Linked DNA regions of Bombyx mori. The protein of the gene in region 1 purifies or fractionates together with the protein of each later gene. This does not show direct contact. Links are inferred from orthologs where the notes say so. Each region holds a gene or a part of one and is shown in the gene's direction. Other genes may lie near its edges. The genes, in order: chromatin complexes subunit BAP18 and nucleosome-remodeling factor subunit NURF301.

Region 1 (4,567 bases):
ATTTGGAGTTAGCGTAGTGTTCATTGGAGGCATCGGATTACAGTTTTTGCAGTATTGTGATCGCTTCTTCGTAGTTCGTAGCTTCGCTTATATATGTGTAGATATTTGGTGATATATGGTTTACCAAAAGTTGAAACTTTATGCTGTCCCATTTTTCTGGCGGAGGAACCAACTGTGCATCTGTTTCTGGAGCGGTCGGCTTCTGCACGAAAATGAAGTTTTCGAAAGTTTTCGAAAGTTTTACGCCAGTGTATCCAAGCTCTCGTACTAGAGCTATCTGACGGGTCGATATCAAACCTTTCAGGGCGGAGATATCTATCCATTTTTTTATTTATTTAGCTTATTAAATTGTAATAAGAGAAAACCTTTACTGAATATAAGGTTTTAATAAGCTAAAATTAACAGTAAAATTTGCTTTGATTACATTAGATACATTGACAAATAACTAATAAAACAGATTGACAATGACGTCAACTTATGGCTGATAATTTCAACTAAGAAGCTTACATCAGTTAGTCACCGTGGAAGCTTCTAGCAGTTCTCGAATGTTCTTGACACATTCTTCAGCTTATTTTTAACTGTTGCCCGGGTTAAAGTTACCCATATTAGCACAAATATTCACACAACGAATTAAAATCAAGACAAGCACGTATACAACTATATAGATTATATAGATTTTTTATGAAACTACATCTGCAACATTTACTTATTATAAAAAGTACAAACTTACCTTTGAAACTTTTGAGTACGAATATAAAAAACTTTGCAGCGATGTTTCATTTGTCACACCCCTACCATTTCACAATCGAACTCAAGAAAGAAAAATTTTGCTGACAAATATCAAATTTTGGCGCGCTTTCTTCGTTCAATAATAAACCTCTTAATTAAAAATTTCAAAGTCTATAGTAAAATGAATCTAGTTTGGAAATAAAACAATAGATATGTAAAAAGTGAGTAAGTGGGCTCATGTTACACGGAAAGCTTAAGTTACCCAGGACGTTTCTCTGCCTTCGTAAGGACTTGTTGGCGGGAATGCGAGGAGTGAAGTTGTGTGATTTGTTTTATTTTGTTTAATTAGTGTTTATTCAGATTTAAATGTCTAAAAACGGTGGTTTACTAACTGTTTAGTATCTGCGAAAGTGCACAAATGTGGGAAAATGAAACTAAGCCGCTGAACGTAAACTATTGGGATACTTTAAAAAGTCCACTGAAAAAGTCTTAGTAAATGACCACCATTTTACTGAGATTATACTTCATCCCATATCATCTCATCTCATTTCATTTCGTTTTCATTTCATTTCATGCCATGTTTCATATTAGTCAACTTCATTTCATTTCTATCATTATTCATTTATAAAAGCTATCATTAAAATTAAAATAAGACTTGACCCAAAGGTCTTAGTTATCAGGTCATAAAAAGTCTTACAAAAAATCTTCCTTCATAATTTTGGACATATATTATGTGTCTAATGTCTATTCCATAGATTATACACTTAATATCTAATCTATGATTTTGGATTTTGGTTATATGTAGTTTGGCATTAAGCATTTTTTTGCAATAAATTATCAAAAAATGAATAATTCTGCAGCTAAAGTAAGTATTTTGATGTCTGGGTTAACGGAATTATCGTATTAGATGAGTGGACTACAAACGTTAAAATAATTATAGGTTGGGGAAATTTTTAGAGAGGCGGGAACTGCATTCAATAAATTATCAGAGATGACAATGCTTCTTCATCCCATGGGAGATTCGCAGCCGGGGTGAGTAAATCATTTTTAAAATTGAAAGCTTATACCAGGATTGCATAAATAAAAAATATCAAGTTTTACTCCGAAAATGATCATAATAATTATATCGTTTTCTTTTAAACCCTCCTCGACCAAACTGTATCGTGTCAGTTTGAAAAAATTGTAATATTTTTTTCTTTAAAAAATCAACAGGCTCTCCACATCGCACACCACCAAATTACAAATTGTTGATTACTTGTAGATGATCGATATCAGTTCATTTACACCATCTATAACTGAATCAATTGCAACCATAATTATTGTACAAATTCATTATTATAATTCTTTTCTTTGGACTATGGTACAATTATAGTCTGAAACTTCTATAAAAATATTTAGAATTTAATTATGCCTAGGTATTTACTACCTTGTCTATACATGTCTATGTCATGCTTTCAAGAAAAGTGGGACCTAAACCTAAACCTGGAGCTGGAGCCTGGTGGGGGCTGAACCTGTTTTATAATAACATTCATGAGTAAATTCCACAATGAAGGAATAACATAAAGTATAAAAAGAAAACCCACCAAAAAAAAAAAGTGTGTGTGTCCGCTCCGACGCACGACTGGAGTTTACTGGATATAAAAAATTAAACGAAACAATACGAGAAATAGTTCTATATTACGACAACACGATACACTACAGATTATTAACAAATTAACGAGACACAAAACAAACGACTAACAAATATATGAAAATACAATAATGAGAGAAACGCGCGATCAGTACGAGGCTTTGTGGCGGACTGCCGGCGCAGCAGCCCGGCGTCACCTGCGATAACGCATTTCGTGTGACATGCGCAATCAGGCGCATAACGCATTTCGTGTGACATGCTAGTACGATTTTGGTCCCCATAATTTTCATACCCCGGGCCTATATATGTAAATCGATTCTAAAGGAGTAAACTCCAATAAAATTTTAATAATTACTGGTGGTAGAGCATCTTGTGAGCCCGTGTGGGTTAGTACCAGCATTAGCACTGCCAGACACAGCCTATTTCTGCCCTGAAGCAGTCGACTGTTTCGGTTTGTAAGGTGGGGTACGGACTGTTTTATAACATAAACAGATACTTTCAAACATATTTCTAACAATAGGTGGTGAAATTTTCATTGTTGATGTCTTAACCAAGGTCGGTAATCACCTAGCACCAGGTGGGCTGTCAGATCATCAATTTATCTAAACAAAAAAATATTTACAACCAATGGATTCCTAAATATTGACTTATGCTGTACAGAACAATGCTGACTTACAGATTCAAAAAAATGCTTTGAATTGAATTTGCATCATTGCACTTTCCCTTTAAAAAGTACAATCTGAGGTTAGCTAATAGGTTGGTGATATCATCAACAAGATTGAATGTTTAGGTCCATAAATTTTGGTTAATTTTTCAGAGGACTTTATCTTATTCATGGGAAATTGTGCTACAGCCCATAGGGCCATTAAAAAAATACAATTGTTTTAAATTATGATTTGTAGGAAATCACAAACCAAGATACTGGTAACAAAAATTTAACAAAAAATTTAAAACTCAAATTTGATGGCCATTAAGATGTTAGACATTATTAATCATTAATATATGTTATCACAATAAAACAATTTCAAAAGGTGTTTCATCTGGACTAAGAATTCTATTACTAGGTGTATACTTAGTACCTAGAACTACCAAGTACACTACCAAGTACTAAACCTCAGTAACGTAAGCATTACACATGTATATGTACTGTATAGTAATCATACCATTAGCCTTTTTCTAGTAACTCCTTCATTTTAACAATAAAGAACAATTAATTATTTCAAATCTTGCTACATTTGGTGAGGTAAATGCTCAACTTACAGCAAAATATGTTCTGGTTATAGTCTTATAAAGCTCTATTTAGATGGGCCTTTTTTTAAATAAACAGTTATCTGAATATATTCATCATAATTTCAGAGGTAAATGGACTGAAGAAGAAATAGAAATGCTGCGCAATTGTGTACATAGATTTGCAGTAGACCTGAATAAACTCAGTCAACACATTAAGAATAGGACAGTGTAAGTCACTCATATTCAATTTGTATACACTCCATAGTTAATTTCACAATCATGCTCTATATTTACACCAAAAAAACGCAAATAAGAGGGATAGCTCATTATTTTTGTCATTGGTCATTTAGCACAATTTAAAATATCATAAATAATTTTCAAATCTGTAGGCAGTTAATAACATAAATATCCTGTCGTTCTAGAAATCAAATTCGATCAACGTTGAAGAAGAAAGCTTTTGAAGACGCAGGTATACCTGTGAGACAGGTAAGCGGCACAACAGGAAATATGGGTCAGCCACAATCCCAGGTAGCATCCCCACTGGCTGCCATCATCCCGCAGTCAGTGATAGGAAACAATGCCGAGGTTCAGAAATTCACTAATTACACAAAAATGGCACAGTCACTTATCTATCACATATATAAGAAGATAGCTTGTTCCTGCCAGTATAGTGGATGCTTATTGCAATTTTATGCACTGGTTTTATAGTCAATGGCATTGATATCTTTATCTATTCAAAAACAATCATTTTTTGACATATTATTACGTTCATGATCGTATTAGTACTTAACTCAGTATAACAATTAAAAATAATTAAAATTTACTAATTACGTTATTTGCAGTAGAAAAATGATTGTTTAATTTTGCTCTCATTGATTACTCATTGAGTACTTGTAGCTAATGGAGTTATATATTTAAAACTTATTTAAGGAGTTAAGATGCCTTTGCTAAAATAGCAGTATATTATTATTTTGATGT
Region 2 (3,835 bases), on another chromosome or scaffold:
GCGTATTATGTAAATATATTTTTCCAATAATTCCCTATCGATTTGTTTGTACTTGCACGATACACATTAAACATCACCGGTTGTTACGACTATCGGTTTTTACGACTGAATATGAGCAGTCCCTTCGATGTCGTTATAACAGATTTTGACTGTATATACATTATTATTACATTAATCTCATGTGAGCACTTACTTTTTTACAGTTCCAATACATTATGATGATCACTGTAGAGTGTGTCATCGCTTGGGTGACCTTCTGTGCTGTGAAACCTGCCCTGCTGTATATCATTTAGAGTGTGTGGATCCTCCTTTACTTGATGTACCTTCTGAAGACTGGCAGTGTGCTTTGTGTAAGCAGCATAAGACTGTTGGTGTAACTGATTGTCTTCCTGATGCTGAGAAGCAAGGTCTATTATGCCGTCATGAACATTTGGGATTTGATAGACAGGGCAGAAAATACTGGTTCATTGCAAGGAGAATATTCGTGTAAGCAAAATAAACAGAAAAGACTTTTACTTTTTGTATTGTATTGTCCACTCCCAACTGTCTATAATTGCATTAACATTTCATTTATCAAATTATATAAAAATGGGAACATTTAGTAGAATAGATTCTATAATTCTTCTTCTAATTTTGGATATGACATGTTATTGTATATTAATATAAATAAATAAGAATTTCACATTTTATAATTCCGAGTTGCGATTTTTTCATCTGTTATTAGTACTGGAAATAAATAAAAAGTCGAATTTTTCATGAAAACAAATTTTGGCCAGTAATCTAGGTACCTGTTCTATAATAGTGACAAGTCATTAAACTCTTGACTTAAAAAGTGGTTGCTAGATAAAATGTATAACTTATTCATATACGAAACTGACAATCAATGGGAACCAGTAATCACCTTAGATGCAATATCAACAATGAAAACATTATAGAAAGCATTTGGCTCTTGATAATGTTACTTTTTATTTATTCTTTTTTCCACATCATATATAAATTACAGTTGAAAGTTCTCTAAGATACTTTGTTCAGCTAAAACTATGTTTATCATCAATTGTACAATTGTATTATTTTTGCATTTATTTATCTATTCTTAGTCTTGGAACTCTTGAGAATAGAAAATGAAATTCTACTAGGAAAACTTTATTCCAACTAATAACCACTGTTACAAAAAAACTTCACTAACAATGGGGGCGTGTAGAGGTTTTTAATAATTGCATTAAACTTTTTCCAGTGAGTCTGAGAATGGTCAAGTATGGTACTACAGTACTCCTCAACAGTTTGAAGAATTGTTGAATGTTCTCGACTCGGAAGAAATGGAAACACCATTAGTTCGTGAACTATTAGAAATGAGGCAAGAAATTTTAAGGCAAATGGACATAACAGAGAGTCTAACTAACCAAATGAAAGGAAATCGGAAATCATACTTAGAAGCTGAAAAAACAAATGTCATCAAACAAAAAAAAAATAGGTCTGAACACAAGCACCAAGACAATAATCCACAATTAAAAGTGGATGGAAAAATTGATAACCTACCCACAATGGATAGTGATGTGTTAAATGAAGTGACTATTATGAGTGAGGATTCTCAAGATAATAATGATATAGAACAGGAAGAGTCAACAGATGAGGATGATGACAAAAAGAGTATTAACCAGTTAATATGTAAATCTAAAAATATAATTAAAAAAAAATCAGAAGAAGGTAAAAGAAATCAGACATGAATATATACAGGGTGTGAGTGAACTAAAAATGATTCTGGCAGGTTTTCATAAAAATTCTCCTGAAGTTTTATATTCTATTTATTTTGCCATATTGCTTATGAGATAGATTAATGAAGTGATTATTTAAAAAGACAATTAACGAGTCAATTGCCTAACAATGAAGCATTTACATTATGTTATTCTGTTTGGCTTGCTTGTATTGTTTTCATTATGATGAATTTCTGGTGTATAGTTCATATTTGGGACAGTCTCCCTTACACCCTGTATAAATTTATATTGATAAATTTGATGATTTTTCTATAATTAAAAACTTAAAATGTATTTTTCAGTTTCTGAACGATTAACAAGGCAGAAATCTAATCAAATGTCAAATGGAACATATTTATTCAAATTAGGAAATGAAAATAATTTTAAGACCTACATTAACCAGTATGCAAGCAATTCTCTGGCTTTAAATAAACCTCAAAGAAACGAGGAAAGGGACAAAAAACGCTATATGTCACATAAGTTTTCTCTATCTTCTACTCAAGAGTTCAAATGGGTTGGTCTTCTGAATGGTATGTACTAAAAAAAAATTCATTCTAACTGGCTTTAAAAAAAAATTTATGTCCCATTTTAATACAAACATTTTTTCATTGTAGCAACAAAACCATTCTTGGTTGCAACTTTGAGACAGACTCTGCTGCAGTTAGAATCTAATATTGTGCTACAGTTTATGCATCCAAATTGGTCTTTATTGAGAAAACCATGGGTACAAGCAGTCCAACTTTGTCAAGCACCACGTGACTTCTCAAGGGCATTGTGTGTGCTACAGGTAAAATTTAGATATTTCAACTTGCAAAAAAAAAAAAAATCATTCATTGCAAAATAAATAATCATATGCCACAGTTGTAATTTAACCAGTATCACATAAGGTCCACCAATGTTCATAGTTCAAACTGGTATAGTTAAATATGTATAGTAATTTCATTCATTAATGGCACTTTTAATATGATTAATGGCATAGAAAAATAGTCTTAAATTTGTGATGTAATATTTATTAATTTCTTGTAATTACAGGCTTGCATTAAAAATGTTGTATGGGTACCGGCATGGCATGAACAGCTGGGTCATGTTAGGCTTATACGCACGACTGCTGCTGAGCGTGAAGAACGAAAAAAACTAGATAAAAGAGAGAAAAAAGAGAGAGATGAAGAAGAAGAGCGTTATCGCACCGCCTACAATTTCGTAAAATATTCTCTTGGTCTTCGTCATCAGGTATTTAATGAAATATTTATTTTCGAGAATTCTATATATCTATAGATATATAGGCGAGATGCCGCTTATCTATTTCAACTGATTTCTTTTATTTTTAATAATGTCTTATTATTTAGTGGTAATATTAACTCTAAACTCATGAGCTTGTTTGAGAATATTTAATGTATAATATTTTATACATCAATGGCACTATTAAGCTAATGGAAGCTACTAAAAATTAAAAAAAGTGGAAAGCTTGACTGAAATAGAAATATTGTCCTTTCAATATTGCCATAAACTGACAATGCAATACTAATAACATTACCACGCAACTCAAATTATCTTACTTTTCAGCAGAAATAAAACATCGGAACATCTCCAAAATCTTATGCTATAATAGCATCATATGTCTGATAAAATTTTCAGACATATTTAAATTTAAGTATCTTGTCTCCTGAATTTAAGCAAATATGACTGCGATATTGTTACTAAACGAAATCTATAATGCATAATGATATGTAAAACTTTCACACGTTTTTCTATTTATATAACGAGTGAACGAGAGGTGTCAGTCAAGTGGTGACCAAAGCCCATAGACATCAACGATTTAAATTCCGCCACCCACCTTGAGACATGATTTCTAAGTCCCCATTTTTACAGTACAACGCCACCCTTCAAACCGAAACGTATTACTGCTTTATAGCAGAATTAGGCAGGGTACCTACCCGTACGGACTCGCAAGACACCCTAGCGCCAGTCAGCACCACCAGGAAGTAAACGTAGTAATATTGGTCATACGATTTGAGTCCGGACACTGAAAATATCGTTTTCATTAAACTCTGTTGGCACGTGAACAATAACTTCGATCGTGAGCT

What was found.
Region 2: the proteins of chromatin complexes subunit BAP18 (region 1) and nucleosome-remodeling factor subunit NURF301 purify together in Homo sapiens (affinity purification with mass spectrometry; 5 studies listed by BioGRID and IntAct, with this or other methods). This does not show direct contact. The link is inferred for Bombyx mori from reciprocal best matches to the Homo sapiens genes BACC1 and BPTF.

Annotation. Positions count from the first base shown.
Region 1 is NC_085107.1:17,443,595-17,448,161, forward strand, and holds the start of chromatin complexes subunit BAP18, read left to right. Parts: upstream 1-1,448; 5' UTR 1,449-1,573; coding exon 1,574-1,594; intron 1,595-1,669; coding exon 1,670-1,761; intron 1,762-3,715; coding exon 3,716-3,817; intron 3,818-4,011; coding exon 4,012-4,174; intron 4,175-4,567. UniProt on the Homo sapiens protein: Component of chromatin complexes such as the MLL1/MLL and NURF complexes.
Region 2 is NC_085116.1:8,928,495-8,932,329, reverse strand, and holds part of nucleosome-remodeling factor subunit NURF301, read left to right. Parts: intron 1-203; coding exon 204-486; intron 487-1,234; coding exon 1,235-1,704; intron 1,705-2,053; coding exon 2,054-2,281; intron 2,282-2,365; coding exon 2,366-2,538; intron 2,539-2,783; coding exon 2,784-2,981; intron 2,982-3,835. UniProt on the Homo sapiens protein: Regulatory subunit of the ATP-dependent NURF-1 and NURF-5 ISWI chromatin remodeling complexes, which form ordered nucleosome arrays on chromatin and facilitate access to DNA during DNA-templated processes such as DNA replication, transcription, and repair.